Sus scrofa: one gene and its partner. The protein of the gene in region 2 purifies or fractionates together with the protein of the main gene of each other region. This does not show direct contact. Links are inferred from orthologs where the notes say so. Each region holds a gene or a part of one and is shown on either strand. Other genes may lie near its edges. The genes, in order: RMND5A and MAEA.

Region 1 (14,636 bases), on a different chromosome or scaffold from region 2:
AGATGGCAGCCTAGGCCCTTTTTTTTTTTTTTTTTTTTTTTGGTATGTGTGAGGTTTCAAACCATTTTAACACACATGTCTGTGCTCTTAATTATTGTTAAAATCTTTTTTGCTTTTTTATAGATGGGCAGTATCAAACCGAGAAATGCTCATAGCCCAGAACAGCTCCTTGGAGTTTAAGCTACACAGACTGTACTTTATTAGCTTGTTAATGGGAGGCACTACAAATCAGCGAGAGGCATTACAATATGCTAAAAATTTTCAGCCATTTGCCCTAAATCATCAAAAAGGTGAGTTTGGAGTCAGATGTTTTTAATATTTGGAACAGGCCTATAGCCGCCACTGGAATTTAAGTTTATCTTAACTAGATCTACTGTATATTTGCTAATAAACAAACAATTGAAGTCCCTGCTTGTCCTCCTGCCCCCATGCTGCTGTTACTGTCACCACAGAGTGTCTGAAAGTGCAACAGGGTGACAGTAATTTAACCCCAAGTGTCAGGGTGGGAGCACCGGCTGGTTTAACAGCCAAAGATATGTGATGGCCCCGTTTATGACATAATTGTTACTCCTATAGATAAAGGTAATTATACTGTGCTGTGTGTATAAAAATAAAATAATTACAGGTTCAGTATTTAGTGCTTTCCTTTTCTTCTTCTTTTTCTCTCTGCTATTTCTTTAATAGAAACCAAGCTCAAGGACCAGAATTTTTTCTTTATGGCCGCACCCATGGCATATGGAAATTTCCTGGGCCAGGGGTTGAATCTGAGCTGCAGCTATGCAGGATCTTTTAACCCACTGCGCTGGGCCAGGGATCAAACCCACACCTTTGCGCTGACCTGAGCCACTGCCGTTAGATTCTTAACCCACTGTGCCACAGCAAGAACCCCTCCAGAATTTTTTTTTTTTTTTTTTTTTTTTGCCATTTCTAGGGCCGCTCCCGTGGCATATGGAGATTCCTAGGCTAGGGGTCAAATTGGAGCTGTAGCTGCCAGCCTACGCCAGAGCAACTCGGGATCTGAGCCGCATCTGCAACCTATACCACAGCTCACAGCAGCGTTGGATCCTTAACCCACTGAGCGAGGCCAGGGGTCGAACCCGCAACCTCATGGTTCCTAGTTGGATTCGTTAACCACGGAAGGAACTCCAAGAACCGCCCCCCCCCCCGAATTTCCAAAGGTGTTACTGAGAAGTAATTTTAGGCCATGTCAACTGGGGGAATTCTTGCCTTTTTCAGTGTATTACTCGAAGGTTGTATTTTAGGTGAACATTCACACCCCCAAATTGCTGCTGCTTTTGTTTAGACATTCAGGTTTTGATGGGAAGCCTCGTGTACCTGAGACAAGGGATTGAGAACTCACCGTATGTTCACCTGCTTGATGCAAACCAGTGGGCTGACATCTGTGACATCTTCACACGGGATGCCTGTGCCCTTCTGGGGCTCTCTGTGGAGTCCCCACTCAGCGTCAGGTATGGAGCTTGGCCCTGTCCGTTGTTGAAATATGCACCGCACTGGTCAGTTCTGCTTAATTTGTTGTCTAGTTCTTGATGTTTAAAGCTGGTAGAACATTTGTCTTTCCGAGGAAGAGTATAGTTGGTATTTCAAGAGATCGTCACAGTTGGTATTACAGAGCTTTAGAGCAGCAGCTATCAGTGTGGTCTCTGATCCTTCGAGGGTCTCTGAGAGCCTTTTCCTCTGTGCTCACGCTGTGGGTTAAACTGCTTCAGCCTCAGCAGATGGGGGCAGTGGTCCCAACCCCCACAGGAGCTTGCTGTATTCCTCACCCCCACACACTTGCAGATGTTTTAGTTTTACTCTGCCTTTGAATACACATCTTTTGAATACTCTGCCCAAATTGGAAGTTCAGATGAAGCCCTTAAGCTTCACGCCATTTCCTGAGGCAGCATGGCCACTGTCTTAAGAAAAGCGTCTGTATGATGTTTGAGTTATGAGCTAAAAAAATAGTTGCTTTTTTCCCTGGAACATAGGTTTCACTTGAAAAACCACTAAAAGACAGACTCTAGTTATTCACATTCAGGTTTTTGTCAGATGAGTAAAGTAATAAGCCTGTCACGTTGGGAAAGCAACTGGTGGTATCTTTTGCCATAGTAATACATTCAAGATTTTAAGCTAAAATAGACTTTGGGAAAATGTGGGCCCCCTACCTCTGTGAGCTGGGCAGCTTCCCAGTGCTTTAGAACATTTCTGATGAGATTGATGGTGGTAATAAGGAAATTGGATTTTATATTATGTAATGAAATGTGCTACCACTTGGGAAATCATTGTGATCTTAGAAGATCACGCATGGGTAAAAGGCTCATTCAGAGAACAAGACTGTTGGGTTTTAGTGGAGCAGGGTACAAAAATCCAATGGCAAGACTCAGATTCCACTTTGCACGTAACCTTTGAAAAACTGCTTCTTGTTGAGTTTTGGTGAGGCATTAAAGAACAATATCCACAGTTATCTGGAAAGGCGATTAAAACACTGCATATGTGTGTGAGGCTAGATTTTTGTCACTTACACGTCAGCCAAAAGATGACATTGCAGGGGGTTGAATGCAGAGGAAGGTGTAAGAATCCACCTGACTTCTGTTAAGGGAGACATTAGAAAGATTTGTGAAAATGTAAAACATTGCCACTCGTCTAATTTTGGTTTGGAAAAGAGACTTGTTTTTTGTGAGAATGTTATTTATGATAACATGATTTGATGATTTTTAAGTGCATTAATATTTTAAGGATTTCTCTGTTTTAATTTCTAGTACAATAAATAATGATAGATATAACCCACAAAAACAGATGCTCTTTGAGATCCTTATATTTAAGCCTTTAAAGAGGTCCTGAAATCAAAAAGTTTAAGAACCTATTTTAAGGAGTTCCCGTTGTAGCTCATTGGTTAACGAACCTGACTGGGATCCATGAGGATGTGGGTTCCATCCCGTCCACACTCAGTGGGTTAAGGATCCGGCCTTGCCATGAGCTGTGGTGTAGGTCGCAGACACAGCTCGGATCTGGCGTTGCTGTGGCTCTGGCATAGGCCAGCAGTAGTCATTGTGATTAGACTCCTAGTCTAGGAACTTCCATGTGCTTCAGTGCAGCCCTACAAGCAAAAAAACAAAACAAAAAAACCCCATTTTAAGAAGTAACTTTTCCAGTGTTCGTTTAATTCCTCAAGTGTTTTGAATCTCTGCTGCACCTTAGGCATTATGAAGGACAGAGAGGTGAATAAGGTGCAGCCCATCTGCACATGGAGACAGACAGGTGCCCTTAACTCTAACGAGCGCCAGGATTGCAGGTCAGGCAGAGGGACAGGTTGGACTATGATGAGTCATCGAAGGCCTTGGGCCACCCCAGGGAGCTCTGCAGCTGTGGTGGCCTCTGGAGTTGTGTCCTCGTGTGGAGCATTCATCGAACGTGACCCCAGTCAGGTCTCTGTCTTCAACTGAGGACAGTCCTACAGGGAGAGTTGACAGCCAGCACTTGCAGAGCTGAGCAGTGTGTGCTTCTGCTCTGGACAGAGGTGATCTGGGTGTGGAAAGAACTGGGCAAGAAAATGTGTCAGAGTAGCATGAATGTCAGGAAGGCCACTAATGACTGGTAAACAGAGCTTATTCAGTCTAGTGGTTTTGTAAACATGCATGTGTGCACATGGATGTGCTCTCGTTTAGCAAAACAGGGGGCTTTGTGATGCTCTGAGTCCAGCGACCAGGGCCCTCTACACGCAGCACGGAATCTGGAAGAATTGTCTTGTCCTGGGACCAACTTCCTGACGCCTGGCCTGGCATTAACATTTCCTCTCCTGTCCTCCCAGTTTCTCTGCAGGTTGTGTGGCGCTGCCAGCTTTAATTAATATCAAAGCTGTGATTGAACAGAGGCAGTGCACTGGAGTTTGGAACCAGAAAGATGAACTACCCGTGAGTTCCATTTCTATTGGTTATTACCTCTCCTGTCATTAGAAGAAAATAGATGTTAAGGATTTAAAATGTCTGTCTTGCCTTTTCCTCAGGGAGCATTATTGTAACCATACGGCAGGGATTCTTTTATGTCCATGTAGACATGATTAAACATGGAAGTGGGCAGCTAGGACATTCTGGAGGTACTGGAGTTTTCTTACCTTTCAGACTTAGAGTGGCAGGCATCAGAGGAAAGGAAACCTCGGAAGAGGAGAGTATTAGAAGAGAGGAGGGTGGTGTATACTGGAGCACGTGGTATATTCCACGGCACAATTGGTAAATCACACTTGTAACATTAATTTTTTAAAATCTAAAAGTGATGAGTCAACTTGATTGGATTTAGTTTGTCTTAGACATTGATATTTATGAGCTCATTGGTTTGTGCCAGTTTTATGTTTCTAATACCAATTAAAATAAGTATATAGCTGTCAAAGATCACCCCAGTGACACCTGCGGTCATCAGTGACCCCCAGTGCTGCGCATCCACTGTTGTAGAGGAACGGGCCATGGTTTTAAATATCTGCTCCAGTCACTTGCTAGCTCTAACTTGTCAAAGCAGTAGTTTGTCCATCTCTAAAATGGGGACCATCCTTCTGTTTATGGGGCTGTTAAATGCTAGAGATGATAGAGGTTTGCTTAGAATAATAATATGGGCCGTGTAGTAGGTCATCAAGTAGTAGTCATGACATGGAATAACAGAGGTCAGAGGTCATCATGTGTGTGTTTGCACTGGGCCTCTGACAGTTTAATGGGAATTACTGTTCTTGTTACAACTGTGTCTCCGACCCTGAAGGGCTAATTCGCGTTTGGCTTTTTGCTTTTTTCTACCACCCTGTGCGCAGCTTTGTCTGTAGTTACCTTGCCAGCTGGTAACTGTCGCGTTGCCCCAGCTTCTCAGAGATCTGTTATGATTAAAGGCGCAGGTGTGTTCCCAGTCCTGAGAGAGATCAGGACACAGGCAGTGCCCTGCGTGGCTGCTGCTCATGCAAGCGATGAACAGCACTCATAGAAAAGAGTCTGGGTGACAGTCTTTCATATTAATAGCCATCTTAGATTTAGAAGGAAAAATAATGAACTGACATCATGGAGCCTCTGTAACGTGCTAACCCTCTTTGCTAAGATGATTTCACAGCTTTTGTTTTGTTCACTGCAAAGAGAGGTGATAAAAGTGCGGTGGGCTCAGATGGATGGATTGTGACTTGTCCTGCTGAACTTTAGTTGAAAGCCCTTGTTTCAGGTGATTTCTCTGGACAGTTCCACAGAAAACATGGGAGACCCAGATCTGAGGCCCACAGAGCAGTAAACGATGTTTTGTCTGCCTTTAAAGGAATTATCACACTGAATTGCATCACCTTGCTAAGTGTGTCCTAAAAACAGTCGGGATATCTGGCGGATTTACTCTCCCACACATCCTGAGTTTTCTAGTGTGTGATTTCTAGGGCACTGCCTTGCTTTTGACTCTTGCTCTAAGACATCAGAATTTGGTTGTTATGGAGTGTTATTTCAGATAATTGTGAGGGTTAGTTTAGAATTATGAGCTACTACTTTGAATCCCTGAGACCATCCATCTAGTTTAGAAGAGTTTAAAAGTTACCTTCAGATAAGTAGGCTTAATGAATGTTCTTTGCTACAGAATGCATTATTAACCTGCAGATGGTTTTCTGAAATATAACTTGAGCTTTTTAACTCTTTTGAAAAAAATAACAGATTGAAGTGGACCTTGGTAAAAAGTGCTGGTATCACTCGATATTTGCCTGTCCTATTCTTCGTCAGCAAACAACAGATAACAATCCACCCATGAAATTGGTCTGTGGTCATATTATATCAAGAGATGCCCTGAATAAAATGTTTAATGGTAGCAAGTAAGTGTCTGACTTTTTAAATATGAGTTTAAAAGAATACTCTTTGGAACTTAGAAGATAAGTAATAAGGATAAATAAATGCAGCTAGAATTCAAAAATATATTTAACTATTCATTTAGCATAGTGGGCGGTACATCTTTTGTCAGTCTTAAATTTGTTCATGGATTTATTGATTAGATTTATAAGCATGGTCTTTAACTCTTAACTTTTTGGGTGAATGGTATATTGTCATCCCAGCCCCTCCCCTGCCACTTACACAGATGGTAACGTACTATATATACTCTTCTGAACTTTGCATTTGTCACTTAGTGACATATCTTTTTTTTTTTTTTGGTTTTTGTTTGTAACTTTGTGATACATCTTGAAGGTCCTCTTTGTGATATAGAAAGAGCCCCTGTTCTTTTTTAAAGCTGCAGAGTATTCTGCCATATGAAATACAATTTACATAGCCAGTTCCCTGATGATGAACATTTAATTTTTGTTAATGTAAAGTGAATTACCTTACCAATATGTGATTTATAAATTTGTAGAATTAGAATGACTACTTCATAGCGTATATACATTTATGATTTTTATACGTAAGGAACCCAACTTTTACAAAACAGTTTTAAAACCTTATTTGTAGGAGTTCTGTCACGGCTCTGCAGTATCGGACCTGACTAGCATTCAAGAGAATGGGGGTTCGATCCCTAGCCTCGCTCAGTGGGTTAAGGATCTGACGTTGCCCTGAGCTGTGGTGTAGGTCGACGATGCGGCTCAGATTGCACATTGCTGTGGCCGTGGCTGTGGTGTAGGCCAGCAGCTGCAGCTCTAATTTGACCCCTAGCCTGGGGAACTTCCATATGCTGTAGGTGTGGCTCTAAAAAAAGAGCTTTAACTCCCCCCGCCATTTCTACCTTAGACAGCGAGACAGTTTTACATTGGAGTTCATTTCACATCCCTTATGGTGAAGTCTTTATTTTGAGAGGAGGAACTGGCATGTACTAAAGCACCCAGGGGGTGCAGGGGGTGGGGTGCCTAGGCTCCAGGCTTGATCTTGGTTCAGACCATGCTGGTTCTGTGCGCCACTCCAGGGCATCGTGTGCCACGATGGGGCACAAAGGCTGCATGCCCTGTCGGCTTAGCAGCTGGTGTCACATTTACTGCATGGGTGTGGCTTGTGACACCGATGCATCTGAAAGTCTTTTCGAGATAGGTGCAAGCTAAGCCTTGGACAAGAAAAATTGGATTGAGTTTTGAAACCCCCAAAGCAATTTTCAGAACAGTTGTCTTTGTTTTGTTCACAAAATAATTTTCACTCATCCACTGAAAAAGAGCCTTTCAGTTTAGAGTTTTGCTTGGACAGTGTGTATTTGTGACCATTCAAACTTGGCTGTTACATTAAGGGAAAGCACACTTTTTACGCTTGAAGGAAAAAACAGACGTGTGTGTGTGTGTGTGTGTGTAATTGTTAAAGGTTTGCTATACCTAGATGAAAATTGAATGCTCGGTACTGATCCTGTTCCTTGATTCGATGTTTTCTTTCTTGTCTTTAGATTAAAATGTCCATATTGCCCAATGGAACAAAGTCCAGGAGATGCCAAACAGATATTTTTCTGAAGAAATAACTCTAGTTTGCAATTTGTAAGTGAAACTGAATCGAGGGCGCATTTCAGAAGAGAACGTTCCATTTAATGCAGCTAACCAAGGACTCCCATGTTTATATAAGCTAATGCTCCAGAAACTTTGCCAACATTTTAGTGTGTACACACGGAGGGGAGTGTGCTCCAGATAAATATTATCATAGGGCTTTATTATATTCTTGGTCTTCATTTCTGATCAAGTAAATACACCAGCAGTTGTCATTCAATGCAGGTTTTTGTACTTAATTATATGGTGATTTTTTTACTTTTTAAGAGCAGAAACAGAAATTGACCTCCCCGCCATGTGTTTAATATTTCTCCTGCTTTTACTTTTTGTCATTTTCTTGGTAACTGTAAGCCTTGAGGATGTTTGTGAAAGGTTTTATTTCCTGTTACGTATACATAATTAAATGAAAATTCTTCAGAAAAAAAGTTTGAAAAACTGAATTGTGGTTCTGAAACGAATTTGCCAGGTTTTTTTTTTTTTTGTTTTTGCGTTTGTTTTTTTGTTTGTTTGTTTGTTTTTGGCTTATGAAAGAAAGCTGTGATAGATTCTACATTTGCTTTCTGATGTTTTCCTTTGCTCCAGCTCTCGCCGAGAAGTCAGCAGACCTGCATCTGTGCTCTGCCTGTAGCCCCAGTGGGCTGCCCGTTAAAAAATTCCATCACAAATTTATTAGCAGGTCGGCGTGAGAAGGCTTCCACTAGAACAGAGTGGAAGCAGTACCGTTGTTTCTTTGCTTTTCTTGCCAAGAGGTGCTCGTTTTAAAAGTGTGTTCAATAAAACAAATTCCGAAGTTAGAATGTTCTTCAGTGGCTGTTTGCTCTCTTGGTCTTGGTGACCCCTCTTCTCTGAAATCTGCCTTCAGGACTTGGCTGTCTCCTGCATTTGTATATCACTACAGACACAGTGTTGTGTGTGCGCGTGTGTATATGTGCACCAGCATCAAACATTGTGTATCTGGAAGGGAAGAAGCATGTTCCAGTCCTAAGACGCAGTTTCCAGACTCATCGCTTTCAGTCCTTGAAGATAGAAGCTAGCGGATTTTCTGTAGTGCAGAATATGTTTATGCCCTTTTTGTATTTGAATAATATACTGTTCAATGCCTCTTTTCTGCAAAGTGTATCATCTCATTGACTGTGAATCTGTATATTACTCTAATGGATACAGATAATGGTCTTTTCTCTTGTGAGGTACCTTCATGTAATGCACTGTCCAAAAACAGCCATGTGTACGAGTCTTTCTCTGTATCACGAACTGCATGGAAAAAGACTCCTGTGGACATAATTCTGACTTAAACCCATGAAGTTACTTCAGTTTGAGAAGCCTGTCTTATGGAAATCACCAAATACTTTACTACTCGATTTCATCTGACATGGAACTGAATATCAAATCCAGGAACCTTCCATGAGAAAATGAAAAGAGAAGAGTACACTGAAGCAAAGAGAAATGGGACACTTGGCATTTCAAACTGCGGACTGACTTGGTTTGCCGGGCAGGGAGATAACAGACTTGGTGCTAAGTCATTTGGAAACCATCTGCTCTGATGGACAGGCCTGGATGGTGTAGCCCGAGATATTGACCTGGGAGAGCGGGCGTCTTTTGGTGAAGGAGGGGGGACTGTTTGGTGGCAGTGTGTGATCAGGCCTCTGCTGAGGTTCCCGTGTGCCATGGGGCTTAGCTAGGGGGTGATGGGCCCGGCTCAGAGTGCTCGCTCTGCCCCATCTCTGGCTTGGCTGCCCAGTGACTTCTGCCCCGTGATTCCCCTTTCCTGGTGGAATCCTCTCCCCACTAATTCAGTGAAGAAAAGCAGAGAAGCTCCTTGGACTCCAGAAGGAGAAGGTAGAAAATTCCAGGCAGCGCTCTGGTTGAGGATGTAAGACCGGTTTATTATATATTTTTTCCTTTGTATTAAAACCCAGAGTGTGATCTCCCCCCCACACACACACACCTTTTTTCTTTTTTTTTTTCATTAGGCCAGATTTAGTTTTAATCACAGCTTGTTCTTACCTTTCCACCTCAAACACCTACACAACATTTAGGCTTTGTGTAAGGTTCGAACAGTATAGACATTGCTCTAGACTGGTGGTAAATGTTTTTGGTGGCCAGACACTTCACATAGCTGGCTCAGGCCACCTTCAAGGACAGAAGCCTGAGAGAGCTCTGCTCTGTCCCTCTCCCGGTGTTGGGAATCCTGTTGACGGTTTTCTGTGCAGTTCATGAAACCTCAGAAAGAACATACTTTACCTGAAGCATTTGACTTTACAGCTTCCTGTGCCAGGTCTCTGTGGTCTCACTGGGCAAGGGTAGGGGTAGGGCCACCAATTTGAAACTCTACTGATGTGACAGTTAAACAGGCACATGTTATCTTGCGACCTTCTTTAAATGCATGGTGAATGTGAAGGAGACAGGTGGCTTTGAAGAGACCAGACCTTAACCAAAGATGCTGAAATTCAGCATGCTGTCCTTTCTACCCTAGAAATACCTTTGCCGGTGTTGGTAGGACCGCATCAGTGCTGAGGCTGCAGGTCTGCAGTGTGGAAGGAGGCGTTGTGCCACGCTCTGCCCTCTTGCAAAAGCTTGTGAGAGAGCAAAGATGTATACAGTCGTAACTGTATGTTGAAAACAGAATTTCAGAGTGGTTCCTTAAATTTCCAGTTAGGAAACCATGTCCACTTACCAGCTGTGGACAAAGGCCAAGGGACTGCGCTAAACCCATGAAACCGTATCAGATCCTTAGATTCTGACTTTTAGAGCATCTGTGCTTCCCAGTACAGTCTGAAGCACGGTGGCTAAGTTGTCTTTCAATCTTTCTTCTCCTTTCTGTGATTGTCACAGATGATGCCATTTCTGTTGTTTTAGTGGTGATTATTTGACATTTCTAATCCATAAATGAACGGGTATTGGTGCCTCTTAATTTTTAAAATTTTGAAGAAAAGAGCCACCTCATCTTCATAGGGTGTGTATTTTGTGAGTGTATGAGCATTTAATTGAAACTAAGAAAGTTATGAAGTCAATCTTTTGATTTTTTTTTTTTTTTCTGAAGCAGCTGATGTGTACAGAGACACTAAAACTCACACCACTTTATGTGGGGAACGAGGATCCTTTTTTCTCTCCAGGTAGTCCCGCGGGGTGTGCAGTTTAAGTTCAGTGTGTCTTATGCCGTGAGTTATTTCCGCCTCGGAGGCTTTAGCCTCTGGGACAGTAAATACTGCAGAAACCAAGAACTCTTGGTTTATCTGCACGAGACAAGCTGCTGGTAGACGTTAGCCCTCTGGTTTTCCAGCTCAACCTCTGATGAAGTAGATTGACCATCAGGCTGGTCAGTCTGCTTAGTCAGTGACTCAGGTTCTTTTCAGGGAAGGCCTGGAGGCATGTTTGGTTCATTTCATCGCCAGGACGTGTAAGGTGAAAACACAAACCAAATACCTTTCATTACTTAACTCTACGTACATGACCTTCGGTAACACTAGAAGGCTGTGGTCTTGAGGGGATGTGAGCACACTTGCGTGATACACGGAAGGGATGGTGCTTCATAAGCCTGTCCAGCTGTGGCAGGTTTGGTTTAGCACGGTGGTGTGTACCTTGGGAAAGTACAAGCTTCATGAACTGTTCTTATTAAACTATAATTGAATAGATACCAAAAATAGAATGACAGATGTATTTTAATAGCAGATGAGGCAGATTAGTTTTAGGGTGAGTTTTTCCCACTGTTGATTTTACGTCATGACACAGGGAGAGAAACAAGTTCATTTTCAAAACATTTTCCTCTGCAGTTTTAAACTGTAGTGAGTATCTGCTTCATTGACTTCCAAAGAGGCAGAAGCAGCTGGCATTGGCTTCGAGCACATGCTTTGTTTCATATTATGATTGATGACCTACATTCTTATTTTAACAGTCACTTACTATTCTCCAGCAAGGCAGATGGGGGGTTCACTAGGACGTAGTGCCTGATCTTTGGGGAAGGGGTGGGAGTGAATGTACTGGGGATGGGAGGGAAGCAGGAGAAGATAATGGCAGCGTGAGTGAGTGTGCATGGGTCTGAAATTCACCTTTAACCCCCACCTGTGTCTAGCAAGGAACAGGTCTTTAATGTATTTTGCTCAAGACTGCAGTGTGCATGTATTTTTTTTCCCCATCCATGTTTTCTAAACTTAAAAGAATTCATCAAATCATCTTGTTCAGATGGCTCAGGATTGTATTTCTTTTGCTTACCCTGTGCTCTTGGGTTCTATAGTATTTCTATAATTATGTAACAATAGTGTTGCACTGTAATCTATCATATAGAGCTATATGTATGGAAAATTTTGATCAGTTTTTTAAGAAATGTACCCTGTTTGCAAAGGCACAATAAAAGTTGCATCTTATAGACTATAGGCAATAAAGCTAACAATAAACCTTATTTAACACAAACCATATTCACATTCTCTGTTCATTTGATCTTGAGAAAAATCTAGCATATCCAGTAGTTTCAGGGATTTCATTTTAACTTAAAAGGTTCTGATGTATTTAATTTATAAATTTCAGACTGATATAATAGAGTTTTGGAAAACTATAAGAAATGCTTTGTTAATGTGTGTATTCCTATGTAAAACACATGGCTTCTCCTGTGTATATTTTTAAAAAATTAAAGAAATGCACATTTGAAAAGTGTTTTGTGAACCCGTCTGTATAAATGTGACAGGTGCCAGAGGTATGAGGGGAGGGAATGTGGAGGTAAGAGAACGTGGCTGTCTGCATTTGCCAAGGGTCTGCATGTAAAGAAGGTAAGAAAACATCTGTCACCATCTCATCCTGTTTCTGTGTCACCAGTAGGATGAGAAGCAGAGGTAGGTGGGCACCATCCCCAGATTCTAAGGGGGGGAGTTGGGTTAATGTTTACCGGTTCCTGCCCCTTATGCTCACCCTGAGGATGGCGGGGACTCTCTGACGAAGTGAGTAGTGTGTGACTGGGAGGGGGGGCCCCCGAGACAGCTCTGCCCAGGCTGCTGGTGCAGTGGGGTGTGTATACTCAGCCCTGCCAAGGAGGAACGGGGGATGGGTTGTCTTATTCCACACAAGCTAAGGTGGTAGAGACCAAGGATCCGTTTGTGCTGTTTTGGTATATTTTCAGAGAGATTCACTCTTACCGGAGGTTTTAGAATGTTTCCTACCCATGGGTCCTCACTGTGGGTCCCACCAGCCACATCTGGAGCCATTCGTCCAGGGGGTGTAGACGAGGCCTGGCATCACTGCTTATCCTTGCAGCATCTGGGATTCTCTCCAGAATCACAGCGTGGTCTCTAGCCAGCATCAGCATCACCTGAGAGCTTGTGAGAAATGCAGACTCTCAGGCCTCTGAAGCAACACCTACGTGCTCCTGAGAAAACTGGCTTCCCTCCCAAGGAGCCTCTTGGATGCTCCCTTATTTTATGAAGTACCTTCCCTCTTAAATGTGGCAGATAAGGATTTCTCGGGTACTGAACGGAATTTACCCCCAATGACTAAGTCCTGAGTCATCAAGAAAAGTTAAATTTAGTGTGCTTTGAACTCTGTTGGTGTACATTTTTTTTTTAATCGGTGTATTTCTTTAGGCATCCAGGTAATTGAGGTTTGTTACATTTGCAGAGTGGCAAGATGCATTTTCCACCCAAAATGGGAAAAGATAGAAAACACCAAAGAAGTAAAATAATGGAATTCTGTAATAGCAAAATAAAGACTGAAAATGCACCTTCAAATAAACCGCTTGATGCCCCTTGCCCCCTAGTAGAGACTTGATGGTAAACAACATCCCAACAAATAGAAACAGCGCTTCGCAGATGGCATGCTTTCCTTTTTTTCCCTGGTAACCAGTAAGAATATTACCCTTTATGCACATAAAGTATCTAATTCTGAAACAAGTTTTACAAAACCAATGCCTATGTGTTGTACTCTGATCCTGATACTTTCGATTATTTGGTTAATGCTCATCAAGACAGTTGGTTTTATGACTTGCTGATGAGTTGAGATGCACAGTTTAAAAACAGCTTGCATTGGAATTCCTATTGTGGCTCAGCAGTAACCAGCTGATTAGTATCCGCAAGGATTCGGGTTCTGTCCCTGGCCTCACTCAGTGGATTAAAGGATCTGGTGTTGCCCTGAGCTGCAGTGTAGTTCGCAGATGTGGCTCGGATTTGGCGTTGCTGAGGCTGTGGCTGTGGTGTAGGCCAGCAGCTGTAGCTCCGATCCAGCCCCTAGCCTGGGAATTCCATATGCCAAGGGTGCAGCCCTAAAAAGCAAAAAACAAAACAAAAACTGTTTGCATTAAGGGACAGTGATAGAATAATCCATTCACAAAGCTATATTGGAATTTCTGTCAATATACACACATGATAGAAAGGGTTTTTTTCTTTTTCCAAAAAACTTCTTGCCCCGAAGTGTTACACTCCTGTGCATCGTCTAGCAAATATAATAAAGCATAGGCTCCTGGGTGTGAGGGAATTTTGCCTGTGCAAAAAAGTGCAAAGTGCTTCATGCTAGTTAATAATTTAAGCATATGTGTGCATGATAAAAGCAAAAGGCATTTAACGTAGCAGGATATGCCCCCTTCAACCATTCATGGAATTTTTAAGTGCCAGGCACTGGGAAGGAGCAGGGTCCTGGCCTCCTGGACCTTATAGACTGTTGGTGGATACAGAAAAGTAAAAAAGTACCAAAATTATAGTGAGGTTAATGCTCACCCGTGACCTAATTACTGGGGAGCGATGGGAGGGGAGGGGAAGGGAGAGATGCAAATGAATTGTGTTTTAAGACCACTCTGGCCACAATGGGATAAAAAGTGGTTGGGAGAGGGGACAGGCCAGTAGAGTAGGTAACTGAGGACTTTTAGTTTTTATTGAGCCCTGAGTCCCAGGGGTAGAGTGGTGAACAAGAGAGACTTTACACTTGGTGATCCCGTTGTGGCACAGCAGAAACGAATCCGCCTAATCACCATGAGGTTGCGGGTTCAATCCCTGGCATCGCTCGGTGGGTTAAGGATCTGGCATTGCCATGAGCTGTGGTGTAGGTTGCAGACATGGCTTGGATCCCGCTTTGCTGTGGCTGTGGCATAGGCTGGCGGCTGTAGCTCCAATTCAACCCCTAGCCTGGGAACGTCCATATGCCACGGGTGTGGCCATAAAAAGCCAAAAAAAAAAAAAAAAAAAAAATCTACTCTCAGGGTGCTCTGAGGCAGGAATGTAAT
Region 2 (15,242 bases):
CAAGGCCTGCTGCTGCCCACCCTCTGCACAGTCTCTCCGTGGTGGTGCCTCCCTGGGGTTTCGCTACCTGCCTAATGACAGAGGACGGCGAGCTGCTTCTGCGCTTCCTGGCCACCTGCGACTCTTCCGCGAAGGAGTCATTCAGATCACTTGCTCGTTGGTAAACTGGGTTGCGCGTCTTTACGTTGCTGAATTTTGAGTTCTTCGTGTATTCTGGACACTAGATCCTTCCCAGGAATGATTTGCAAGTATTTTCTGTCCCATTAGCAATCTTTTCACTTTCCCAACAGCATCCTCGGAAGCACAAGCCTCTTCTCCTCCCTAAAGTCTGAATCACCACGGTGTCACTGTGAAGACTCTTCTCCACTGCCGTCCTCGCCATTCATCTCTACGGCGGGAAACACCAGTCATCTCAGTACATACTGGCTGTGCGTCCTGCAGCCTCGCTGGATCGGGTTCGCTGGCGCCGGCGGGGGCGGGGGTCTTGCGGGCGTCAGCCGTCCATCCTTAGCATTTTCCGCAGACAGATCATTTCACCTGCAAACGGAGTCCTGCTTCTTCCTTTCGAATCTGAATGTCATTTCTTTTTCTTGCCTGACTCCTGACTGCCCCGATGAGAATCTGTGGCACCGACGAACGGAAGCGGGGACAGCCCTCCTTGCCTTTCTGCCGACCTCAGGGCAAGGCTGTGGCGCCCGGCCTCGAAGCAGGATGCTGGCTGTGGCCGCCTCAGAGGTGCTCTCCAGCAGGCCGAGGAAGTTTCCTCTGTTCCCAGCCTGCGGCGTGTTTCCGTCACCAAAGGGTGACGGGTCCTGTCAGGTGCCTCTGTCTGTGACTCCTGAGACGACCTCGTGGCGTTGGTCCTTTATGCTGCCAGTACGGCCGTACGCCCATCTTCAGTGTGGAGCCAGCCCTGCGCTCCTGGGGCAGACCCCACTCCGTCGTGGTGCACAGTCCTTTCCTGCGCTGTCAGATTCGGTCTGCTGACACGCTGTTGCGGATCCCCCACCTACAGCCTGTCGTTTCCTTGCGGCATCGCCTGTCTGGCTTTGCCGTCAGGGTGAACCGGACCGCAGAGGACGAGGTGGGAAACGTCTCTTCCTCCCCCATGTGCGGGTCGTTCACGAAGGGCCAGTGCCACCTCCTCTTTCAACATTTCATAGACTTCACCGGGGAAGCCATCCCTACGTGGGATGGGCTATTCAGCCATCGTTTAACAAATGAGCGATTTTACGCCTCACCTCAACGCTCTTCCTTTCATATATTCTGTCTGTAGTCCTTTGCCCCACACTCAACCCAAAACGTCCTGGCGCTTTCACATCAGTTTGAACTAGCTCTGTATGGTCCCTATTTGATAATTTTTTTTTGGCCATGCCCACAACATGCCAGGGCCAGGGACTGAACCCAAGCCACAGCAGTGACAGTGCCAGATCCTTAGCCTGCTATGCCACCAGGGAACTCCTTGGTAGATGTTTTCTTAAGACTTGTTACTTGCGGAGTTCCCGTCGTGGCGCAGTGGTTAACGAATCCGACTAGGAACCATGAGGTTGCGGGTTCGGTCCCTGCCCTTGCTCAGTGGGTTAACGATCCGGCATTGCCCTGAGCTGTGGTGTAGGTTGCAGACGCGGCTCGGATCCCGCGTTGCTGTGGCTCTGGCGTAGGCTGGTGGCTACAGCTCCGATTCGACCCCTAGCCTGGGAACCTCCATATGCCGCGGGAGCGGCCCAAAGAAACAGCAAAAAAAAAAAAAAAAGACTTGTTACTTGCTTCTAAAATCTAGTTTTATTTTATCTGGTTACACCAAAGATTTCTATTTGTATTAATCAAAATCTACTCAGTTTTTCCCTACTAATTTGTGGCACTACAGCTTTTAAGATCGGAGGATTTCTCCACTTAATTGGCTGATACTAATTATATTTCCTCCAGTACCTCTTTCCCTTTAGTGACTCAGGAAAGCAACCCTTCCAGTTTTCACAGCAGAAAGAGAAGACGGCAGACACGCCTTGCTGAGACCTGTCTTGACACCTGCGCTCTCCTCCCCCACTGTGTCACCTGCCTTAGGCTGTGTCCCCCCAACCCCTCCAATGTCTGCTGTGGACTTTCCCAGTGTCTGCTGGCAAAGCAGGCAATCTCATTTGTCACCGTCATGTTCTCAGCCGTTTTGACCAGCACGGGAAGGAAGGATTTCCCCAAAGGCACAAGGCCTTTCATCTTTCACAATTAAGAAAGCGCGAAGGAGGTTTCTGAGTGTTTACCGCGAAGCTAACAGCACCTCCTCAAGGGTCGGGCCGAGCCCTGAGCGGCAGCAGACATCCGACCCCATCTGGGGAGCTGCCTCGTGTTTCGAAGCACGCGTGGTCGGGTCTCGGCGGCCCCACGCTACCCCGGGTGAACGCCAGGCACAGTCTGCACCTGCGGTTGGGGCACCAAGGACAGGAGTGCTTCGAATCCCCTCTTTTAAACAGGCTTTTTTTTTTTTTTTGTCTTTTTGCTATTTCTTTGGGCCGCTCCCGCGGCATATGGAGGTTCCCAGGCTAGGGGTTGAATGGGAGCTGTAGCCACCGGCCTCCGCCAGAGCCACAGCCACGTGGGATCCGAGCCGCGTCTGCAACCTACACCACAGCTCAGGGCAACGCCAGATCGTTAACCCACTGGGCAAGGGCAGGGACCGAACCCGCAACCTCATGGTTCCTAGTCGGATTCGTTAACCACTGCGCCACGACGGGAACTCCTAAACAGGCTTCGTAAACAACGACCAGGCCGGGTCCGCCTCCGGGGGACTGAGGAGCTGGACCCTTCCCTCCACCCAGCGCGGACAAAGCTGGAGGCGTCCTCTGGGGGACGGGGGCCTCTCATCTACAGCCGTCGCAGGAATCTTTCCGGCCACAGGTCCTCTTGAGAAAGGGCAGTGCGGGCAGATGCCTCAGCCACTGCCGCCAGCCTGACGGGAGCCGGGACCGCGTCCTCCCGCCCCGGGACGGCTGGCGAGCACAGGCGGGCACCGGTGCCCAGCGTATAGTTACACGGGGGTGATGGACTCTCTGGCCTCTTAGACACGATACACGCCAGAGGCGGCAGCGCCCACCGGACTCAGCGGCGGGCCGGCCGTCAGCCTCCTGGTCCTGCCCTCCCGGGAGCCCCGCCAGGCCTGACGGGGCGCAGGGAGGCCCGAGGGTGTCTCTCCAGCTGTCACTGGCACGGCAGACGCGCGCCACACCTCCAGCCGCACTCAGCTGCCAGCCCCACGGCGCGACCAGGGCACAGGCGCACCTCCGCCCGCGCCGGTCCCGGGAGGCGCGCTGCCCGCTGCCGCCGGGATGCCGAAACCGGGGATGCGCCCGTGCTGACCTCGGCCACTGCGTCCTCCTGCAGTCAGGTCGTGTTTCCGGGACATGAACATTTGTCGCCGTCATTCTCAGCGTCACATTTCCTGCTGCTTCAATTCTTACTTCTCTGGACAGAATTGCCAACATAACAGGGCAAGGTTCGTTCGTTCGTTGAAGAGTCATTTCTCCTCTTCCCTCCACACAGCGTGTAATCCCAGTGGTGAGAAACAAAGCGGCAAAGGGAGCAGGTGAGACGGCACAGCGGCCAAGGAGAAAGACCGCAGGAGGGGACAGGGTGCCCGGGGCCCCAGGTGAACAAAGGCCACCCCACCAAGCAGGTGACACCTGAGCAGAGGTGGGGCGGGGGGCTAAGCCCGACAGACATGTGGGCGAAGCATGCTGAACAAAGACACCAGAGCAAAGATCCTGGGTCCGGTGCCGGCACCTCCCGCAGCAGCAGGAAGGCCACTGTGGTGAAGTGCCTGGGGGCGGGGGGGGGGACGTGCCAAGTGCCGATGGGCCTGAGAGGCCACTCTAACAACCCTGGGCTTCCCCCCAGGTAGGGACGAGGCTGCTAGGACAGAGGATGGCACTGCCTGGCGACCGGTGGCTGTCCTGGACGTGGGCAGGGCAGGGACCAGTGGCAGGCAGCCTCAGGCCACGGCGGGGCGGGAGGCACAGGGAGACAGTAGGGCTCTGAACACGTTCTGGAGGCAGATGGGCAAGCAGAGGGCCCAAGGCTGGCTGCGAGGTTCCAGCCTGAGCCCCTGGGATGGAAGAGCGGTCCCCCACTGAGGCCAGGAAGGCAGAGAGCGGGTTTGTGGAGGCGACCGGCAAGACGACAAGTCCAGCTTCCATGTGCTGGAGGCCGCCACGCCCAGGATGCAACTGGAGGCAGAAGTGCGACGCCAATGCTTCAGGAGCTTCCCACCAGACAGAAGAGAGGCCTGCTCTGCCCATGGGCGCCCTCTGGGCCCCGGGAGGGAGGCAACCCCAAGGCAGGCCTGGCCGAGGAACGAGCATTCCAAGGGGCATCCAACAGAAGCAGCGTCAGACTGTGACCAAGGCCGGAAAGAAAACACCAAGGGACCACTCAGCCTGATGCTGCTCAGGGCCCTCGCGGCAAGGGGCCCTCACCAGGCTGTCTCTTTACGGTCCCCTGGCAGCCAGCACAGCCACCCCTGGCTCGGGCCTCGGAGCTGAAGCACAAAAGCCAGCCCGCCCTTCCGGGAGGCCCTGCAAAGGGAGCTGGCCCCCAACCCTCCCCGCTCCCACCGCTGGCGGATGGGGGGACGGGCGGGAGGACCGGAGCCCCCGCAGGCCGCATGGACGAAGAAGAGATGGCAGGACGATCGTGGGCAGACATGAGGCAAGACACGGAACAGGTGGCCGAGGGGGCTGTCACCTGAGGGCTGGCTGGTCGCAGGAGCCGGCGGCTGACCGGGCAGAGAGCGGGGCCGGGGCTGGGGCCCGTGTCTGCAGAGCAGAGAGGACCGCGGCCGACGGAGGGAAAGCCAGAAACCGAAGGAAACGCTCAGACCCAGCACACCCTGATCCTCGCCTCCAAAGCCCGGCGGCTTCGTGCTTCCTGGCGTTCTCGAAGCCGCCAACACGCGATCCCGAGCCCAGCCAAAACCGAGTTTGGAAACTACGCGGAAGGGGGCGTGTCACCGGCACCCAAAGCTTCTAGGAGGACAGAGCCGGGATTTGAATCATTTGAATCGGCCGAGCGGGATGTGGGCAACAAGATGCCACCACATAAAAGCAGAAGATGTCAACATTCCTCTAGAGAACTCCAGGCACCAGGAGACCCCACCTCCTGACCCAGACAGGGCAGCCGCACACTCCCCCGCCCGCCCCAGGAGCGGGGGCACGGGTGTGGGGGACCCCCGGCTGGGGTGCCGAGATGAGGCTCCAGGTGTCCAGAGCAGGTCCCAGGGAGCAATGCTGGGCCCTGCTTCCCCGCCGAGCAGACGGCTCCCCGCTTAGGTGCTGATAAAAAGGGGCTCTAAAATATTATTTTCCTGCTGCTACCTGAAGGAAAAGACAGAAGTAAAAACTCCAAGATACTAATGGGAAGATCAGCAAAATAATTTGGAGATAAACACAACTGCTTCTACAACGAGAAAAACTTTAAAAAATGCAATTAAAACAGGGCCTCCAGGAGTTCCTGTCGTGGCTCAGTGGTTAACGAATCCGACTAGGAACCATGAGTTTGCGGGTTTGATCCCTGGCCTCGCTCAGTGGGTTAAGGATCCGGCGTTGCCGTGAGCTGTGGTCGCAGATGTGGCTTGGATCCCGTGTTGCTGTGGCTCTGGTGTAGGCCGGGGGCTACAGCTCCGATTAGACCCCTAGCCTGGGAACTTCCATATGCCACAGAAGCAGCCCTAGAAATGGCAAAAAAGTCAAAAAAAAAAAAAAAAAAAACAGGGCCTCCAGTTCACAATGGTGGGTTAGGCACCCAACTTTCCCCTTCCCCTCCCACGAGGCCTACAACCCGAACCAGACAGCACTCCAGGGCAGACCCGCAGCCAGGCCAGAGCACCAGGCGCACTGCAGAAAAAACAAGCCCCCTATGGCAGGGTCCTGACCAGAGGTTCTGCGGGGCCACCCCCTCCGCCGGCTCCCCCTCCACCAGGGCAGCTGGCTGTGCAGGAGCATCCTGGCGGCCTGCCCAGCACCCTGAGGGCGGGGCGAGGCCAGGGGTGCTGCCGAACATCCCGCTGTTGCCTCAAGTCCGCAGGAGGAGAGGCCTGAGCCAGTCCGGCCACCACAGGGGCGGGTGCTCGGCGGGGAGAGGGTCAGCGTGCTCCGCTTTCGCCCTTCCCCAGGAGACAAGGGGGAAGTGCTCGTGCAGGCTGTGGGGAGCCAGCCTGAGCCTCCCAGCCTTCTGAGGAGCGCTCGCTCGCCAGGAACTCAGTTCACGCTCCTTCCCAGCCACGTGGGAGAGCGGCCTGTGCCCCAGAGAAGCACGACCCACACCTTCCAGAACCTGGCCCTCGGCCCCTTCTCCTCCGGCCTCTGCCCGGCACGCCCCTCCTACCACGCCTGCCTCTGGACCCGGCTCAAGGCTGTGACCAGCGCAGCTCCGCAGCCGACAGCTCTTCTGTGCTTAATTAATTCCGCTTTAACAAATGCTTCTAAATCAAGGCTCCCTGGTTCCCTAGTGAAACTTCCTCACGATCCACTGAGAATTGCTCCTGAAAAAAATGTTAACTCAGCAGTGACAGTGACATGCATGTCGAGAGAACAGAGAAGTTATCACACAGGCTCTAATCATTTGTGAGGGAAAATGAAGCTATCTTGCAAAAAATCCTGCTTTAAAAATCATTCTCAAAAAGAAGTAGAACTCTAACCCGACAGGCTCGCCTGCAATGACACTGTAATATTTCTTTATCTCTGAGTCTACATGGCGACTTTAATCGAAGACTACTGAGGAACTCTGGAACTCAAGTGACACTCAAGGACGTCTAGTTGGGCGCCTGAGGCAGCAGAGAATCCTGGTCTGGGCGACAGGGTCTTGCGGAGCTGAGTATGAAACCACCACCCACCCACCTGCTACCACTGAGGTGGACGGGCATGCCGAGGTCCCAGGGGAGGAGAGAAGCTACCTGCCACCCCCTCCCCGGAAAGGAACTGAGTCACCCTGCTCAGCCACAGGTCCCCTGAGAACGCTACAACCTCGATCTTGTCTGGAATCATTCCCAGGTGCTTCTTGGGATTCAATGACCATGAATTCCTCTGCTAACCAGGGAAGGAGCCAGTACTGGCCTCCGCCCTCGAACACCAATTTCATCCCAGTGTCAGGGACTCGCCTAAGTGACCATCCAAGGTCACGTATATGGCAACCGAGTGGCAAGGGCTGTATTTCAGGTTTGGTGACGCCCCGTATACGGGCTCCCATTGGGTCGTGAAGTCTCTCCTTACAGGTCCCCTAATTCGTGTCTGGAAGCTATACATCAACACCTTCTGACATAAGCTTCCGGGAGGACGGCTGGACACCAACGGCCAGTCGCGTTGGGCACCCTGGATGGGCGCCTGCGACCCCACGCCCCTGAGACCCCAGCCTCCAAAGTCACCAGGCAGCCTAAGGCCAGAATTGTCACCGATGTGTTCGCCGTCGTGATGGGGAGAAGGGGCCACAGTCGCATTCTGGAAGGCGAAGCGGGGCGCCAGGCAGACGCGCCCCCCGCACTGTCACAAAGCCCCTGCGGGCAGACAGGGGCACGGACGGCCACACGCCACACCCGCCGGCCGCAGGCTCCCGGGCCCCGGACCCAAGGAGCCCGGCCCCTCAGACCACGGCCCCCGCCCGGCGCCCCAGGCCGCGCCCTGTCCCCTTCTCCCCTCGAGCTCACCGCCCCCCGCCCCCCCACACACACGGCCCGCGGCCCCCGCCAGGTGCGGGCGCCCCTCGGCCGCAAACCCCACCTTGAGGGTCGGGTACTCCTGCACCTTCAGGGTCATAGAGAGCTGAGCCGCGGACTCCTGCACCGCCATCTTGAATCGGCCAAAACATTAGCGGGCGGAGGGGAAGCCAAGCGCGCGGCACGCCGGGTAGCGACGTCGCGGGGCGGGGTGGGGCGGGCCGACGCGTCTGCACCAATCGCGTCCGCCCCCTGTCGAGTGGCAGAGGGAGAAGGCGGGGCCGCGGCGTGCAAGCCGAGAGGCGTCCTCCCCACCCAATCACCGCCGGCCTTTCTCTCGTTCAGCCAATCGGCGGGAAGCCCGGCGGGGCGGGTTCCCTTCTTGAACTCCAGGCGGGGCGGGAAGGTCTCGGCCGGATGGCTCTCCCCCGGCCCTTTGACTCGGCGTCCCAGCGCCGTCTACGCACCGAGCACCCTCAGAAGTGGGGGTCCGGGGTCCGGCGAGGAGCGCGGCTGTGGAGGTGTCTGGGCTCGCGTGGGGCGGCCCCCCCGGAGGCGGTGAGCCCTCCTAGCCATGACCTCTCAAGGCTGTGACCGTGCATGGGAGTCGTGCCAGAAGGTCTGCAAGGCGAGGGTGCCTGTCAGCACTGCTCCATTGGCCGCCTTGCGCAGAGGTCCGGCTGGAGCCTGGCGCGGAGCCGCAGGTCCCGTTGGAGGGGAGAGGTGGAGCGCTTAATCGGATTAGGAAAGCGTCTCCCTAGTGGAACAAGGGCCTGTGCTCTCCCCGCACCTGGCCCGCGGCCCTGGTATCCACGGCGATTCTAGTTTTCAACCACTTCGCATTGTTTTGTTTTGTTTTTTAACATCTTCAGTCAAATTTTATTTTATTTTTCTATTTTAGAGCCGCACTCGCGGCATATGGAGGTTCCCAGGCTAGGGGTCGAATCGGAGCTACAGCTCCCGGCCTACACCCCAGCCACAGCAACGCTGGATCCTTAACCCACTGAGCAAGGCGGGGTGGAACCTGCATCTTCATGGATCCTAGTCAGGTTCGTTAACCGCTGAGCCACGAAGGGAACTCCTCGAATTTTATTTTTTTAAAAAAGCAGCAGATCAGCACTACAAGAACCTAATCTAAATATGCATTTGGGAATGAAGCACGTCTGAGTAGGGAGTGAAACGTTTTTGGAAAAAGCTTTTGCAGAAAACCATCTACTGCATCATCTCTAAACACCCCAGTAATAAATCATTCTGTAGGCTTTTTGCTGCCACTTGACATTCTTATTCCCTTTTATTCCTCTTTAAAATAGAAAGGAAATTAGGTTTCACTAGTTAGGAGAAGATTTTTTTCTTTCTGTCTTTTTGCCTTTTCTAGGACCGCTCCCACGGCAAATGGAGATTCCCAGACTAGGGGGTCTAATTGGAGCTATAGCCGCCAGCCTACGCCAGAGCCACAGCAACGCAGGATCCGAGCTGCGTCTGCAACCTACACCACAGCTCAGGGCAACGCCAGGTCTTTAACCCACGAGCGAGGCCAGGGATCAAACCCGCAACCTCTTGGTTCCTAGTCGGATTCTCTAACCACTGCTCCACAACGGGAACTCCAAGATTTTCAAATTATGCCACACTTCACACTCATTTCTGAAATGGTATTTTTTTAAATGATTAAGTTTAGCATTAAAAAACAGCAACAACCCTAAGGCTACACAGGAAAGCCACTGTCGCAGTGGGAACCCTAGGACCCCCACCTCCACCAGCCCTTGCCCCCATGCCCTGCAGCGTTCTAGCAAAATCCTAGTGCTAACAATCACGCAAGGATGAGAAGCTTCCCGTGCTAAACAAAACAAGTTCCTCCTAGAGATCATATCCACACGAGTGAAAGCTGAGTGCGTCAAGGCAATCAGCACGTTCAGCTTCATGCTAACCCAATTTTGGCCAATTGTGATACGGTAACAGCCAGTTGCGCCACCACCAAAAGCGAATTCATCTGAAAGAAGGGGAGCTGTGACTTGGAACACACCAACAACAGCAGACCACAAGCAAATCCAGAGAACGAGGCGTGGGAACTTGCTGTTACAGGGAAAGTGGGTCTTTGAGCGGGGCCGGGATAACCGACGGGGTCTGTTGGAGGAGCTGGTGGGGGTTGGGGGGACGAGCAAAGACCGGAAGCTGCCGATTGGTTGGGCTGCTGCAGCCTCTGATTGGCCGAGTTTCCGGATGGGGGGAAGGGAAGTTTTCTCCTTCCTCTTGGACGGTAGGTAGAGGTGTCCTCCTGTGAAAGACGTGGCAGAGGCCCCTTCCTGTTTGGGGTGACTGACATGTGCGTTGGGTGTCAGCGCGCCCCCTACAGACTTGTCCTGACTGCAGCCCTAACTGACAGTTCCTTAATTCATTCCACATTTTCCGCTTTTGATCAGGATCTTTCCTTGAAGGTATCACCGATCAAGAGTCAGGATCTCCTCTAGTGGTTTGCTCCAGTTAACTTAGAAACATTAGGGGTTAGCATTTGGATCTTCAGAGGATGCTACTCTAAAGAGTAGGTTTGGAGTTCCTGGGATGGCCCAATGTGTTAACAATGTGACTGCAGCAGCTCAGGTTGCTGCAGAGGTTCAATCCCTGGCAGAGCACAGTGGGTTAAAGGATCTGGCAACGACACAGCTGCGGTGTGGTTGCAGCTGCAGCTCAGATTCAGTTCCCAGCGGGGATTTGAAGATGTGGCCATTTAAAAAAAAAAAAAAAAGGAAAGAAATGAAATGAAAACAAATATAACAATGACAGATGTGAGTCCCACCCTAACAGTAATTACATGTAAATGGATTAAATTTCCTAATCAAAACAAAAAGACTGGCAGAATGGATAAAAACACATGATCCAACCATACTGCAAGAGCTGACTTTATCTTGTGTCTTTTTAGGGCCGCACCCGAGGCATATGAAGGTTCCTAGGCTAGGGGTCGAGTCAGAGCTGCAGGCACTGGCCTACGCCACAGTCACAGCCACCCGGGATCCAAGCCAGGTCCACAGCTCATGGCAATGCTGGATCCTTAACCCACTGAGCAAGGTCAGGGACCAAACCCGAGTTCTCATGGACACTGGTCGGGTTCGTTAACCACTGAGCCATGACGGGAACTCCAAGACCCACTTTTAATCCAAAACTCAAATACATTGAAACCGAAGGGATGGAAAAATATATTCCATGCAAATAATGGTCAAATGAGAGAAGAGGTGGCTATATGAACATTGGAAGAAAATGGGTTTTAAACCAAAAAAGAACATTACGTATTAATAAAAGTTTCCATACAGCAAGAACTAGTGACAAATACAAACTTTTTTTTTTTTGTCTTTTGTCTTTTTGTTGTTGTTGTTGTTGTTGCTATTTCTTGGGCCGCTCCCGCGGCATATGGAGGTTCCCAGGCTAGGGGTTGAATCGGAGCTGTAGCCACCAGCCTACGCCAGAGCCACAGCAACGCAGGATCCGAGCTGTGTCTGCAACCTACACCACAGCTCAGGCAATGCCGGATCGTTAACCCACTGAGCAAGGGCAGGGACCGAACCCGCAACCTCATGGTTCCTAGTCGGATTCGTTAACCACTGCGCCACGACGGGAACTCCGACAATACAAACTTTTACACACCTAACACGGAACATCAAAATATATGAGGCAAAAACTGATAGAATTAAAGGAAGAAACGGGCAGTTCTTTAACAATGGCTGGAACTTCAATACCCCACTCGCAACAATAGCTAGAACTGCCAGACAGGAGGTTAGTAAGGAAACAGAGTAACTCAGTTCGGTCTAACAGACACGCACAGAACACGCCACCACCAACAGCACGCACGTTCTTCCCAAGTGCACTTACGACATTTCCCAGGATCGACCATACGCGACGCCACAAAGTAAGTCTCAATGGATGTAAAAAGCTAGACACCATGAAAAAGAAATCCCTCCAACCGCAGCAGGATGATGTTAGAAATCGAAACACAAGGAACATTGGAACATTCATGAGTTTGTGGACATTCAAGAACCAATGGACCACAGAAGAAAGCAAAAGGGAAATTAGACAACAATTAGAAAGGAAGAAAAAAGAGAACGCAACTTACCAGAACCAGTGACTCACTGAAAGAGATATTCAGGGGAAATGTATAGCCATCAACACTTACATTAAAAAATAAGAAAGATCTCAAGTACACAACCTAACTTTACAACTTAAGGAAGTAGAGAAAGAAGAACAAGATAGACCAAAGCTAGCAGAGGGGAGGAAAAAAAAAGATTAGAGCAGAAATAAATGAAACAGGGAATAGGAAAACAATAGAGAAAATAGGTAAAACCAAAATTTGGTTATTTGGTTTAGGCAGGCTTGTTTTATTTGATCGAAGGCAGGTGGACAAAGAAAAAAAGAGACAAATCAAATTACTAACATCAGAAACAAAAGTGGAAATATTAAAACTAATTCTACAGTAATGAAAAGGATTATAAGAGAGGGCTGTGAACAACTAACTGTACACTAACTAATTAGATAATTTAGATGAAATGGACAAATTCCTGGAAATACAAAACCTACCAGGACTAGATCGTGAGGAAATAGAAAATCTGAATAGGACCAACCAGTAAGGAGAACGAGTCAGTAATAATAATAAATATCTCTCGACAAAGACATTGGACCTGACGGCGTCACCGATGAATTCTACCAAACACTTAAAGAGAACGAATAGCTTTCCTTCTCAAACGTTTCCAAAAAATTGAGGATAGGGGAACACTTCCTAACACATTCTTTGAGGCCAGCATTGCCCTGAACCAAAGCCAAACAAAGACACTACAGGAAAACGACGGACCAATATCCTTTGTGATCCCTGATGCAAAAACTCTCCAGAAAACACTAGCAGGCGGAATTCAGCAGCATATTCACAGGCTTATTACACAGTATGACCAAGTGGGATTTATTCCTACAATGCAAGGATGGTTCAACACGTGAAAAAACAATCACTGTCATATACCACATAACAGCGTGAGGGGAAAAAAGCACGGGATCATCTCAATTAATACAGAAAAAAAATTAAACATTATTTTATGATTTAAAAAGTAAAAAAAAAAAGTAGGGGAAAAAAAAATCTACATCAGCATAATAAAAGCCATGTGTGAGCCACTCCCAGTGCATAGGCTACTCAACGGCGAGAAAATGAAAGCTTTTCCTCTAAGACCAGGAACAAGGTAAGGGGCCCTGCATCCACTCTTGCTGGAGTTCTGGCCAGAACGATTAGGCAAGAAGAAATAAAAGGCATCCACACTGTGAAGGAAGAAGTAAAACTGTCTCTGTTTGCAGATGACATGATCTTATATTAGAAAACCCTAAAGGTCACTCACACACTCACACACACACATACTCTCACACTCACACTCACACACGCACACACACACACACGGCAAAACAAAACACCTGTTAGAACTAATATAGGATTCCAGCCAAGGAGCAGATACAAAGCCAACACACAAAAGTTATCGGCATGTCTATATACGAACAACGTATGATATGGAAAGAAAATGGCAAAACTGATTATATTTGCAATAGCATTGAAAAGAATAAAATACTTTGGAAGTAACCAAGGAGCTGAAAGACTGACTTGTACAAAGAAAACTACAAAATATTACTGAAAAATTACAGACATAAATAAATGAAAACACACTCCAAGTTCATGGACTGAAAGACAATAGTTTTGAAAATTTTATTGGAGCATAGTTGACTTACAGTGTCGTATTAGTTTCAGGTGTAGCGCAAAGTGAATCAATTATAAATATACGTTGGAAGACAATATTTTGAAAATGTCCATAGTCCCCACAAGGAAGTACAGATGCTACTCAATCCCTATAAAATCCCAATGACATTTTTTGTGGAAATAGAAAAACCCATCCTAAAATTCGTATGGAATCTCAAGGGATCCCAAATCATCAAAACAGTCTTGAAAAAGAAGAACGAAACTAGAGGACTCAGCTTTCCTGATCTCAAAGCTCATTACAAATCCACAGTGATCAAAACGGTGTGGTGGTGGCATAGGAACAGACATACAGGCCGATGGAATAGAGTAGAGAGCCCAGAAACAAACCCTCGCAGAGATGATGAGATGATTTTTGACAAGCATGCCAAGACCATTCAATGGGGAAAAATGTCTTTTCAAAAAGTGGTGCTGGGATGGAGTTCCCGTCGTGGCTCAGTGGTTAGCGAGTCTGACTAGGAACCATGAGGTTGCGGGTTCAATCCCTGGCCTCGCTCAGTGGGTTAAGGATCTGGCGTTGCTGTGAGCTGTGGTGTAGTTGCAGACGTGGCTCGGATCCTGCGTTGCTGTGGCTCTGGCGTAGGCCAGTGGCTACAGCTCCGATTCGACCCCTAGCCTGGGAACCTCCACATGCTGTGGGAGCGGCCCAAGAAATGGCAAAAAAAAAAAAAAAAAAAAAAAAAAAAAAAAGAAAAGTGGTGCTGGGAAAACTGGATTTCCACATGCAAAAGGATGAAGTTGGGAGTTCCTATCGTGGCTCAGTGGTTAACGAATCCGACTAGGAACCAGGAGGTGGCGGGTTTGTTCGCTGGCCTCGATCCCAGTGGGTTAAGGATCTGGAGTTGCTGTGAGCTGTGGTGTAAGTTGCAAACAAGGCTCGGATCCCACGTTGCTGGGGCTCTGGCATAGGCTGGCAGCTACAGCTCTAATTAGACCCCTAGCCTGAGAACCTCCATATGGCACAGGTGCAGCCCTAAAAAAAATTAAAAAAATAAATAAATAAAAAGAATGAAGTTGGGTGCTTATTACACGCCATATACAAAAGTTAGTTTGAGAATGGATCAAAGACTTGAATACAAGACCTAAAACTATAAAACTCTTAGAAGAAACACAGGGTAAAAAATTTATAACTTTGGATTTGGCAGTAAATTTTGGGGTATGACACCAAAGGCACAGGAAACAAAAAAGGAAATAGAAAATTTTGACTTCATTAAAAATTTTTTTAAAATTGTACATCAAAAGACACTACCAACCAAGAAAAAGGCAACCCACAGAATGGGAGAAAATATTTGCAGATCGCTCATCTGATAAGGGATTCATACGTAGAATATACGCGAACCCCTAAAGCTCAAGAATAAAAAAATGAACAGCCTAACTCAAAAATGGACAAAGGACTTGAATAGATATTTTTTTCAAAGATATACGAATGACCAATAGGCCATGAAAAGGTGCTCAACATCAGTAACCCAAAAAAATAGCATAATGCAAATCAAAGCCCCAGTGAGATGCCACCCCGCACCTGTCAGGGCTGCCACGGTTAAAAAAACCAAAGCAAGCAGTGCTGGTGAGGACGTGGAGAAACTGGAACCTCCGTGCACCGTGGGTGGGAAAATAAATAAAAGGCATCCACATTGTGAAGGGAGAAGTAAAACTGGTGCAGCCTCTGCGAAAACAGTATGGAAATGACTCAGGGTTAAAAATAGAATTACCATACGATCCAGCAATTCCACTTCTGGGCGTACACCCAAAATATTGAAAGTAGGGTCTCAAAGAGATATTTTT

The links.
Region 1: the proteins of MAEA (region 2) and RMND5A purify together in Homo sapiens (affinity purification with mass spectrometry; 5 studies listed by BioGRID and IntAct, counting the BioPlex papers as one, with this or other methods). This does not show direct contact. The link is inferred for Sus scrofa from reciprocal best matches to the Homo sapiens genes MAEA and RMND5A.

What each region holds. Positions count from the first base shown.
Region 1 is NC_010445.4:58,035,476-58,050,111, reverse strand, and holds the end of RMND5A (protein RMD5 homolog A), read left to right. Parts: intron 1-123; coding exon 124-290; intron 291-1,303; coding exon 1,304-1,469; intron 1,470-3,808; coding exon 3,809-3,911; intron 3,912-5,657; coding exon 5,658-5,812; intron 5,813-7,347; coding exon 7,348-7,411; 3' UTR 7,412-12,088; downstream 12,089-14,636.
Region 2 is NC_010450.4:535,950-551,191, reverse strand, and holds the start of MAEA (macrophage erythroblast attacher), read right to left. Parts: upstream 7,912-15,242; 5' UTR 7,827-7,911; coding exon 7,758-7,826; intron 3,770-7,757; exon of another isoform or gene 3,349-3,769; intron 1-3,348.